2 linked regions of the Canis lupus familiaris genome follow. The protein of the gene in region 1 purifies or fractionates together with the protein of each later gene. This does not show direct contact. Links are inferred from orthologs where the notes say so. Each region holds a gene or a part of one and is shown on either strand. Other genes may lie near its edges.

Region 1 (3,906 bases):
ATATCCATAAACGATGCTATTCTATATTTCTAACCAGGAAGGCAATTTTCTCCTATATCATTGTTTTGTTTTGTTTTTTTTTATAAACAACAACTTGAATTCTATTGCATGAAAGGGCTACAAATATACATTTGTTAACCAAGCAGAATACACAAATACTTTGCTTTACAACTTGCACCTAAGATACCAGTACACGTAGCTGGTTCATTAGTTGTCATAGCAATTTCGGGCCACTGCCCAAGCTATGCGTAGCAGTTTACATTTTCAAATCTTGTGTAGAAAGGGCAATTGTGATATGGACTGTTAACTACATTCCCATAAAGCCCATCTTCGTTACAAGTAAACGTGTAACCAAAGTCTGCACAGATCTTTGATGGCAAAATTTCTAAATCTGATGCAATTATCCTAAACAAGTTTTTAAAACAAATGGTTTTTGCAGAGATACTGCCATTCTGCCAGTAGATGGTGCTACAAAGGTTGGGGGAAGGATTTCCAAGAGGACAACAGTTCAGCTATAGGAAAAAACGTTTAAACCTGCTCTGAAAATACAAAAATGCATTTAGTTTAAGGGTAAAATATAACCCTTCTTTGTAACCATTTATTACAGACAAACCAGTAAGAGGGATGAAACTAGGCCATCTGAAAAATTTTAAACAGTTTATATGAATGAAAACACATGCTTAACACAAACTATTTCTTTTTGAACTACCAGTACATACTTTGAAGTAAATTCTCATAGAAAGAAGTGACCAACCATGTCAAGATAAGCAAATCGCTTAGTATGAGATGGATGCACAGAAACTTTGAAGATTTTAAAAAACTACATCCACCACTTCAAAAGTTTTGCCTGTAGGGATAAAACTCAACACGTCACTAGAAGAGCAACAGGAAAAAAAAAAAAAGCCACCAAAGGACCTTTTAAAAGTGTCTTCAAGTACACATCAAGAATTTAGAATTAACACGAAAAAATTTTAACTAATATCCCTTAAAACGGTACGTAATAGATCCTAGAAAAAAAATGTTAGACATATACGGTCAAACACAATGATTTATTAAAAATAAAACGTAAAAATGATTTTTGTACATATGTGTCCAAATTTCAGGCATGGGATCCAAGTAGATTTCATAGAAAACGCTGTAGCCAGATATCAAGTCCTTACAACAAAGTAAACTACCCCCCCCCAACCCCCGCCCAGGTTTTGCTACAGAATCAGCAAGTTCACTCCCTCCCCCCCCAAAAAAAAAAACACAAATTAAAACAAGACATTTTGCTAGTATAAAAACGACCAAGGTCCAAGTAATAATAAAAAAATAGAGTCCATCAATGACTGTAACACAAAAATGTGTATGTGGGGCCGAGTCCATCTTCAGAGGGAGAGACAAGAGAGGTGGCAGGCAAATAGGGCAACACCCCCAAGGATAAGCAGCCTTAGAAGCGGCTCCCCCAAGGGCAAAACGGGGAAGGCGGTGGTGGGAGAGTAAAGAACGTAGGAGTTACCCCAGCTGGGGTGTAGAAGAGCTACCCCTATAGCCACTCCCAGGCATATTTAGATTTCTTTTTAGAAGGAGCTGCCTCCATAACCACCGCCACCGCCGTAGCCGCCTCTGTAAGGTCCACTGTTACTGCGACCGCCCCAGCTGCTGCCACCGCCGCCGCCGCCGCCGCCGCCCTTCATGGGCCCGTAGGAGGACTGGTGCTGGCTGTAGCTGCCGAAGCCGCCGAAGCCGTTACCGTAGTCGCTCCCACCGTAGGACGAACCGCCTCCGCCGCCTCCGTAGGCATTGTAGCCGCCACCGCCGCCGCCGCCGCCGCCGTAACCACCGTAGCTGTTGTAACCGCCGCCGCCGCCGCCGCCGCCCTTGGACAGGCCGTTCTGGTCTCGACCCCCGCCGCGGCCCCGGCCGCCCCGGCCGCCCCGGGAGGACCGCGAGCCGCCTCCGCCCCCACCGGAGTGGATATCCTCCTTGGGCACGGCCTTCTTCACCTCCACGCGATGGCCCTGGATCGGGTGGAACTTGACAACCGCGGCCTTGTCTGCCGCGTCGTGATTCTGGAAATACACGAAGCCAAAGCCGCGCTTCTTGCCCGACTGCTTGTCGGCAATAATCTCGGCCTTTTCCACCGTGCCGAACTGCGAGAAGTGCTCGATCAGGTCGCCCTCCGCCACGTCTCCCTTAAGGCCCCCGACAAAGAGCTTCTTAACCTTGGCGTGGGCACCGGGCCGCGCCGAATCCTCCCGGGACACCGCCCGCTTCAGCTCCACCGTGTTGCCGTCCACGGCGTGGGGCGAGGCGGCCATGGCGGCATCGGCCTCCTCCACGTTGGAGTAGGTCACGAAGCCGAAGCAACGGGAGCGCTTGGTCTGGGGGTTCACCACCACCACGCAGTCCGTCAGAGTCCCAAAGGCCTCGAAGTGGCCGCGCAGGCCCGACTCACTCGTCTGCACGTTGAGGCCGCCGATGAACAGCTTGCACAACTGGGAATTCTCCATCTCCACGGCCCGGGCCTTCCCCCCGCCCTGCGAGCTCCGAGGTTTCGCCGTCGCCGTTATCGCTGGCTAAGGCCTCCTCACAGCTTGGGCCCAGCCGTTGCTGGAGCCGCCACCGCCGTCACCGACGGGGAAGGGAGGAAGGGAAGGGGAGGGAAGGAGGAAGAGAGGAAGGGGGAGGGAAGGGGAGAGGTGCTGGCTAGAGGGCGAGCCGAGGAGACTGGAAGACAACCAAGGCCGTCACTACCGCCACCGCTACCGCTACCGCTACCGCCACCGCCGCCACCACCGCCGCCGCCGCCGCCGCCGCCTCCGCTCCCCTATCTGGGCACCACACAAAGAGGCCGCTGAACGCGCGCGCACCCTCCCCGAGGCGTGCGTCACCGCCGACGTACGGCCGCCCAGCGCCGCCCGCCAATCCCTGCGTCGCTCTCCCTAGTCCCGCCTACCGCGCCGCGGCGCCGCTCTCGGCCACCGACTCCCCGCCCTCCGCGGTCGATTCAAGCCTTCGGCCTGCGCGGCTCCCGCCGCCGCCTCTGTAGGCCGGGCTTCACGCCCCGGCTCCCCGGGTGCCCCGACCACGGACGCCCCCGGCTCCCCGCGCAGCTCCGCAATTCCTCTCCTCCCAGCCCCGCGGCTGTTCCCAGCGTGCTGCCCCCTCCCCTTGCCGTATCCCCTCGCCCCACTCCGCAGTGGCGTTCGCGCCAGCCCCTTGAGGGACGTGCGGCTGCAGCCAATCACCGCGATGCGCTCGCGCCCACTTCCGGTCTCGGCCGCCGCTGGACGGGCGCGCTCCCCGGTGCGCCCCCCGGGTGCAGAACCTGCCTGCCGCCCGGACGCTGCCCCTGGTCCCGGGCTTGGGGCGGGGGGGGGTCAGCGGGGGCGCGCCGGGGGCAGTTCCCAACGGATGCGACCTGGGGCGCGCCACGCGCGGGCTTTTTGAAAACTCGACTGTTGGGGTTGGGGGCCTGGGCTCCCCCGCCGCGGTTCGGCGGGGCCGCTACACCTGGCAGCCCGGCCGCCCCGCCCGCACAAAGATGGAGGGCAGAGGCCTGATCGGGAAAGGCGGTTACTGACGGTTTCCCGGGGGCCCGAGCCTCAGGTAAAGTGCAGCGCGGGCGCGTGGTGCCGCGCAGGGGCGAGCCCGAGGCCCGGCGGAGGTCGGCGGCGTGCCACCAGCGGCTCCGACTTCCCATCGAGGCGCGGCGCCAGACCCCCGCCACCCTCCGGCCCGAAGCCCACGCTCGCTCGCGCACAGCTGGCATTGCCCATTGACCGAGGGGAACACACCGTTTTCTATGTTGACGTTACCTGTGCGTTGCTTCCTTCCCAACCAAACCGTTAGCTTTTTTTTTTTAAAGGCATTTTATAACCTGGAGCCAAAGGAGTTGAAGGAAGCACGTAAATACCACGCCCC
Region 2 (3,906 bases), on another chromosome or scaffold:
TGGAGCCTGCTTCTCCCTCTGCCTGTGTCTCTGCCTCTCTCTCTGTGTCTCTCATGAATAAATAAATAAAATCTTTAAAAAAAATAAAATAAAATTTCTATTTGATACTTCATATTTATTCCAGTGTTTTCATCTATTCTCTTGAACATACTAATTGTAATTTTTATAAAGTCTCTGATAATTTCAATATCTGAATCATTTATGATCATAGTTCTATTTTTTCCTCTTGATTTTCAGTCATTTGTTTTGTCTCCTGGCTTGCCTGGGGACTTTTTTTTTTATTGAATTTGGGCGATTCTATAAAAAAATTATAGAAATTATAGGTCATTCTGTCTTCCTCTTCTGGCAGAAAGAGAAAGCTAGAGCACTTTGGTCCAACGAGGAAGTGAGATGATTCAAGGCTGGTTTTCATTCACCTGAGTTTGTCCTTGCTTTTAGAATGTACCCCTGCAGGAGGTATCAGATGAAAGTCTGGGCTCTGTGCCTTGGTGAACTCCAGGTTTTGTCTCTCCAGTACCATGAGGCTCCTGAATGCTCTACCTAGCTTTTAGCCTAGGCAGCTTAGGAATCAGCAAATGCATCAAAGTGAAAAGTGACACAAAAGCTCCGATGTGAAAAAAAAATTTTTTTAAAAAGCTCTCATGTTTCCCTTTCCCCAGGATATTAGCTGCCTTGCCTCTAATGCTTCAAATAGCTGTCTTGTTTTGACTTTTTTTTTTTTTTTTTTTGCTTCAGATTTTGGAGTTGCTTTTGGCAAGAGAATTGGTTTGCTAAAAGCTACTCTATCATACACAGAAGTCATCTCCAAATGCAAGCTCTGTGAGAAAAGGATCTCACATCTGTCTTATTTATGGCTATTTCCTAGTACCAATAGTGCCTAGTACCAAAACAAAACAAAACACCCTTCAATAAACATTGATGTTAATTAATGTAAGAACTAAGCCCTATATCTGTCCTTGACATCTATATCATTTACAGCCCTCCGTATCTATCCAAGGGAGTCTAGGGTAGGTAGCACAGCACGGGAAGAATGGGGTCTGGATCTCCTTGGCAACCGGACGCCACGCGCGGGCACGGTAGCCGCGGCCCCGCCCCTCCCCCCCGGGGCGCCCGCGGCCCCGAGCTCGCTCCCTGCGCATGCGTACGCGCGCTGGCCCCGCCCCCCTGGCGCAGCCGTCGGAGCCATTTTCTCCGCCGCCTCCGCGCAAGCTGCGGTGCGTTAAGCGGGCGTCTCTGAGGGAGGCCGCGGCCACGGAGGGTTCTGAGAGGGCTGCGTTCTCGGACACCGGAAGGCGGACGCCGGTAGGGTAGAGACGTCTTTGCCACCCGTTGTGGGGCGCGGGGCCCCGCGCTCCTGCAGCCGGGCTTTGTTGCGAAGCGCGGGCGGCGGTGGCGGGTGGGGGAAGGGGCGAGGCGCCCGCTGGGTTCCCGGATTACGGGCTGCATGCGGCTCGCCGCGCCTCCCCCCGCCTCCCCCCGCCTCCCCCCGCCTCCCCCCGCCTCCCCCTGCCTCCGCTGCCCGGGCCCGTGCGGCGGACCCGTTACCCCCGCCCCCCCACACACCCTCGTCCGCGGCCCCGAGCCCCACGTTCTCCCGCGGCCTGCACGCCGTGCTTGCTCTTGGCGGGATCGCGGGGCTGGCGAGGCCGCCGTGACGCCGCACACGCCCGAGGCCCTTCATCCATTCATTTCGGCCACAAAGACCGGGCGCTGTCCTGCGGGTGCGGTGGCGGGGCGGTGAGCACGTGGGGGCGCAGTCCCTCCCTCTTCCGCGGGGAGGTTTCGGCGGTGGGAGGAGGCTCCGGCAACACCAGCGTCTGCAGGCTGCGGTCAGAAGCTTGAGAAAATGGAAGGTCGTCGAGGGAGAAGGCTGGTTTCACCCGGGCGGCCGGGGGGAGAGCGGACTTCCCGAGCGGATGAGGTCGAGGATGCGTCAGCTCCGAGATGCGGGATCAGTTAGCGCTTGAGAGCGGGAGTTGGGGAAGAAACGGCGAGGAGGCCCTGTTACCTAGAGCGTATTTTGAAGGGTGAAGAGAATGGATTTCAGGACGGTCAGCGTGAAAAACGGCGATTTAGATACCTAGATCCAGGGCGTGATTGCAGGAGGCCGGGGGGTGCGGCAGTGGTGGCAGCGGACGGACGGACGGACGGACGGACGGACAGACGCGCAGGGGGTGCAAAGCTGGTTTTGGAGGCGGAATGGCGTGTAGGTCAGGAGCCCGCCTGCCGGGCCTGGAAGTCTGGCTCCTCCCAGCTGAGAGAGCTCTTGTCTTCTCTGGGGCGAAGGATTTGGGGATTTTTGTGGGGTTTTTTTGTTTTGTTTTGTTTTTGTCTCAGTTTATTAAACGGGGAGAATAAGTATTCTCATCTGCATAATTATTGTAAGGGTTTAGGAAAAGTCGTTTACGTGTAGATGATCCCCTAAGGCTTTACTGACTGGTGTGCAAACGGAGAGTCCTCCAAGGGATGGCTGTGGAGGGCATTATTAAGGGAGCGTAGGACTCCCAGCTTGTGACGGGGGTAACTTGGCGGTGCCATTTCAGGAGGTGGAAACACTTGGACTGCGGGGAGGAAGGGTCAGGTGTGGAAAGGAAACGTCTGTTTTTACTGAGATGTCAGGTTAGCGTTTGCACATGAGCGCCGTAGTTGGATGATACTTGATTTTGGAGCTTTGAAAAGACTATTTCAATATATGTTTGGGCACGATCAGCATATAGTTGATAATTGAGTATAGTGGCGTTCGTTGAGACTGCCTAAGGAAGGAATTTGATAGTGTAGTCTTTCATATTTCATGGTACTCCTTCACCCTGAGGTTCTTGTTTTTTGGTTTTGTTTTGTTTTTTGTTTGTTTGTTTGTTTTAGTTGATTATTCAGGGGTGGAATTTACAGATGGACATCGGGAGCTTTCCACCGCTTTTCGGTCAATAGGATTTACCCAGGTTAACCTGTGGCTACAGAATAACCTTATACTAGGGTCCAGTTTCATGACGTTAGATTTAGGTGCTAACAAAATGCACTGAACAGAAGAAGTAATAGGGTTTCTTCTCACACACAAACTATTTTTTTTTTTTTGCATATCTTTTCCAGATTAAGTTTGGTCTTAGATATCTTGCCTTTTTTTTTAATACTTATTATTTATTTTGAGAGAGAGCACGCACGCACATATGTGCAATGAGGAGCAGAGGGAGGGGGAAAGAGAATCTCCAGCAGACTCCTTGTTGAGCTCAGAGCCCACCCAGGGCTCTATCCCAAGACCCTGATTGTGGCCCTAGCCGAAATCAAGAGTCAGAGGCTTAATTGAGCCACCCAGGCATCCTTCATATATCTTGCTTTTGATTTAGATTCAGATTTTTTTTTTAAAGATTTTATTTATTTATTCATGAGAGACACAGAGAGAGAGAGAGAGAGAGGCACAGACACGGGAAGAGGGAGAAGCAGGCTCCAAGCAGGGAACCCGACGTAGGACTCGATCCGCAGGACTCAATCCGGGGACTCCATGATCATGGCCTGGGCCAAACGCAGGTGCTCAACTGCTGAGCCACCCAGGCATCCCTAGATTCAGATTTTAGACTCATAGGCTCCATATCATTTGGTGTATTTATAAACTAGTTTAGAGGGAGAGTGCCAACAAGTATGGTATGGTGCATATCAAGAAAACTTAGTATCCTCAAATTATAATGAATAAAAAGGCCTAAAGGAGAGATTGGGTGCTTAACAGATTAGTATTTTTATTATTTTTTAAGATTTTATTTATTTATTCATAGAGACACAGAGAGAGAGAGAGACAGAGACACAGGCAGAGGGAGAAGCTGGCACCATACAGAGAGCCTGACGTGGGACTGGATCCAGGGTCTCCAGGATCATGCCCTGGGCTGCAGGCGGCGCTAAACTGCTGCGCCACCGGGG

Evidence for each region.
Region 2: the proteins of HNRNPA0 (region 1) and DHX9 purify together in Homo sapiens (affinity purification with mass spectrometry; 3 studies listed by BioGRID and IntAct, with this or other methods). This does not show direct contact. The link is inferred for Canis lupus familiaris from reciprocal best matches to the Homo sapiens genes HNRNPA0 and DHX9.

What each region holds. Positions count from the first base shown.
Region 1 is NC_049232.1:25,501,699-25,505,604, forward strand, and holds the start of HNRNPA0 (heterogeneous nuclear ribonucleoprotein A0), read right to left. Parts: upstream 2,834-3,906; 5' UTR 2,493-2,833; coding exon 1,560-2,492; 3' UTR 1-1,559. UniProt on the Homo sapiens protein: mRNA-binding component of ribonucleosomes. Specifically binds AU-rich element (ARE)-containing mRNAs. Involved in post-transcriptional regulation of cytokines mRNAs.
Region 2 is NC_049228.1:16,111,639-16,115,544, forward strand, and holds the start of DHX9 (ATP-dependent RNA helicase A), read left to right. Parts: upstream 1-1,159; 5' UTR 1,160-1,302; intron 1,303-3,906. UniProt on the Homo sapiens protein: Multifunctional ATP-dependent nucleic acid helicase that unwinds DNA and RNA in a 3' to 5' direction and that plays important roles in many processes, such as DNA replication, transcriptional activation, post-transcriptional RNA regulation, mRNA translation and RNA-mediated gene silencing.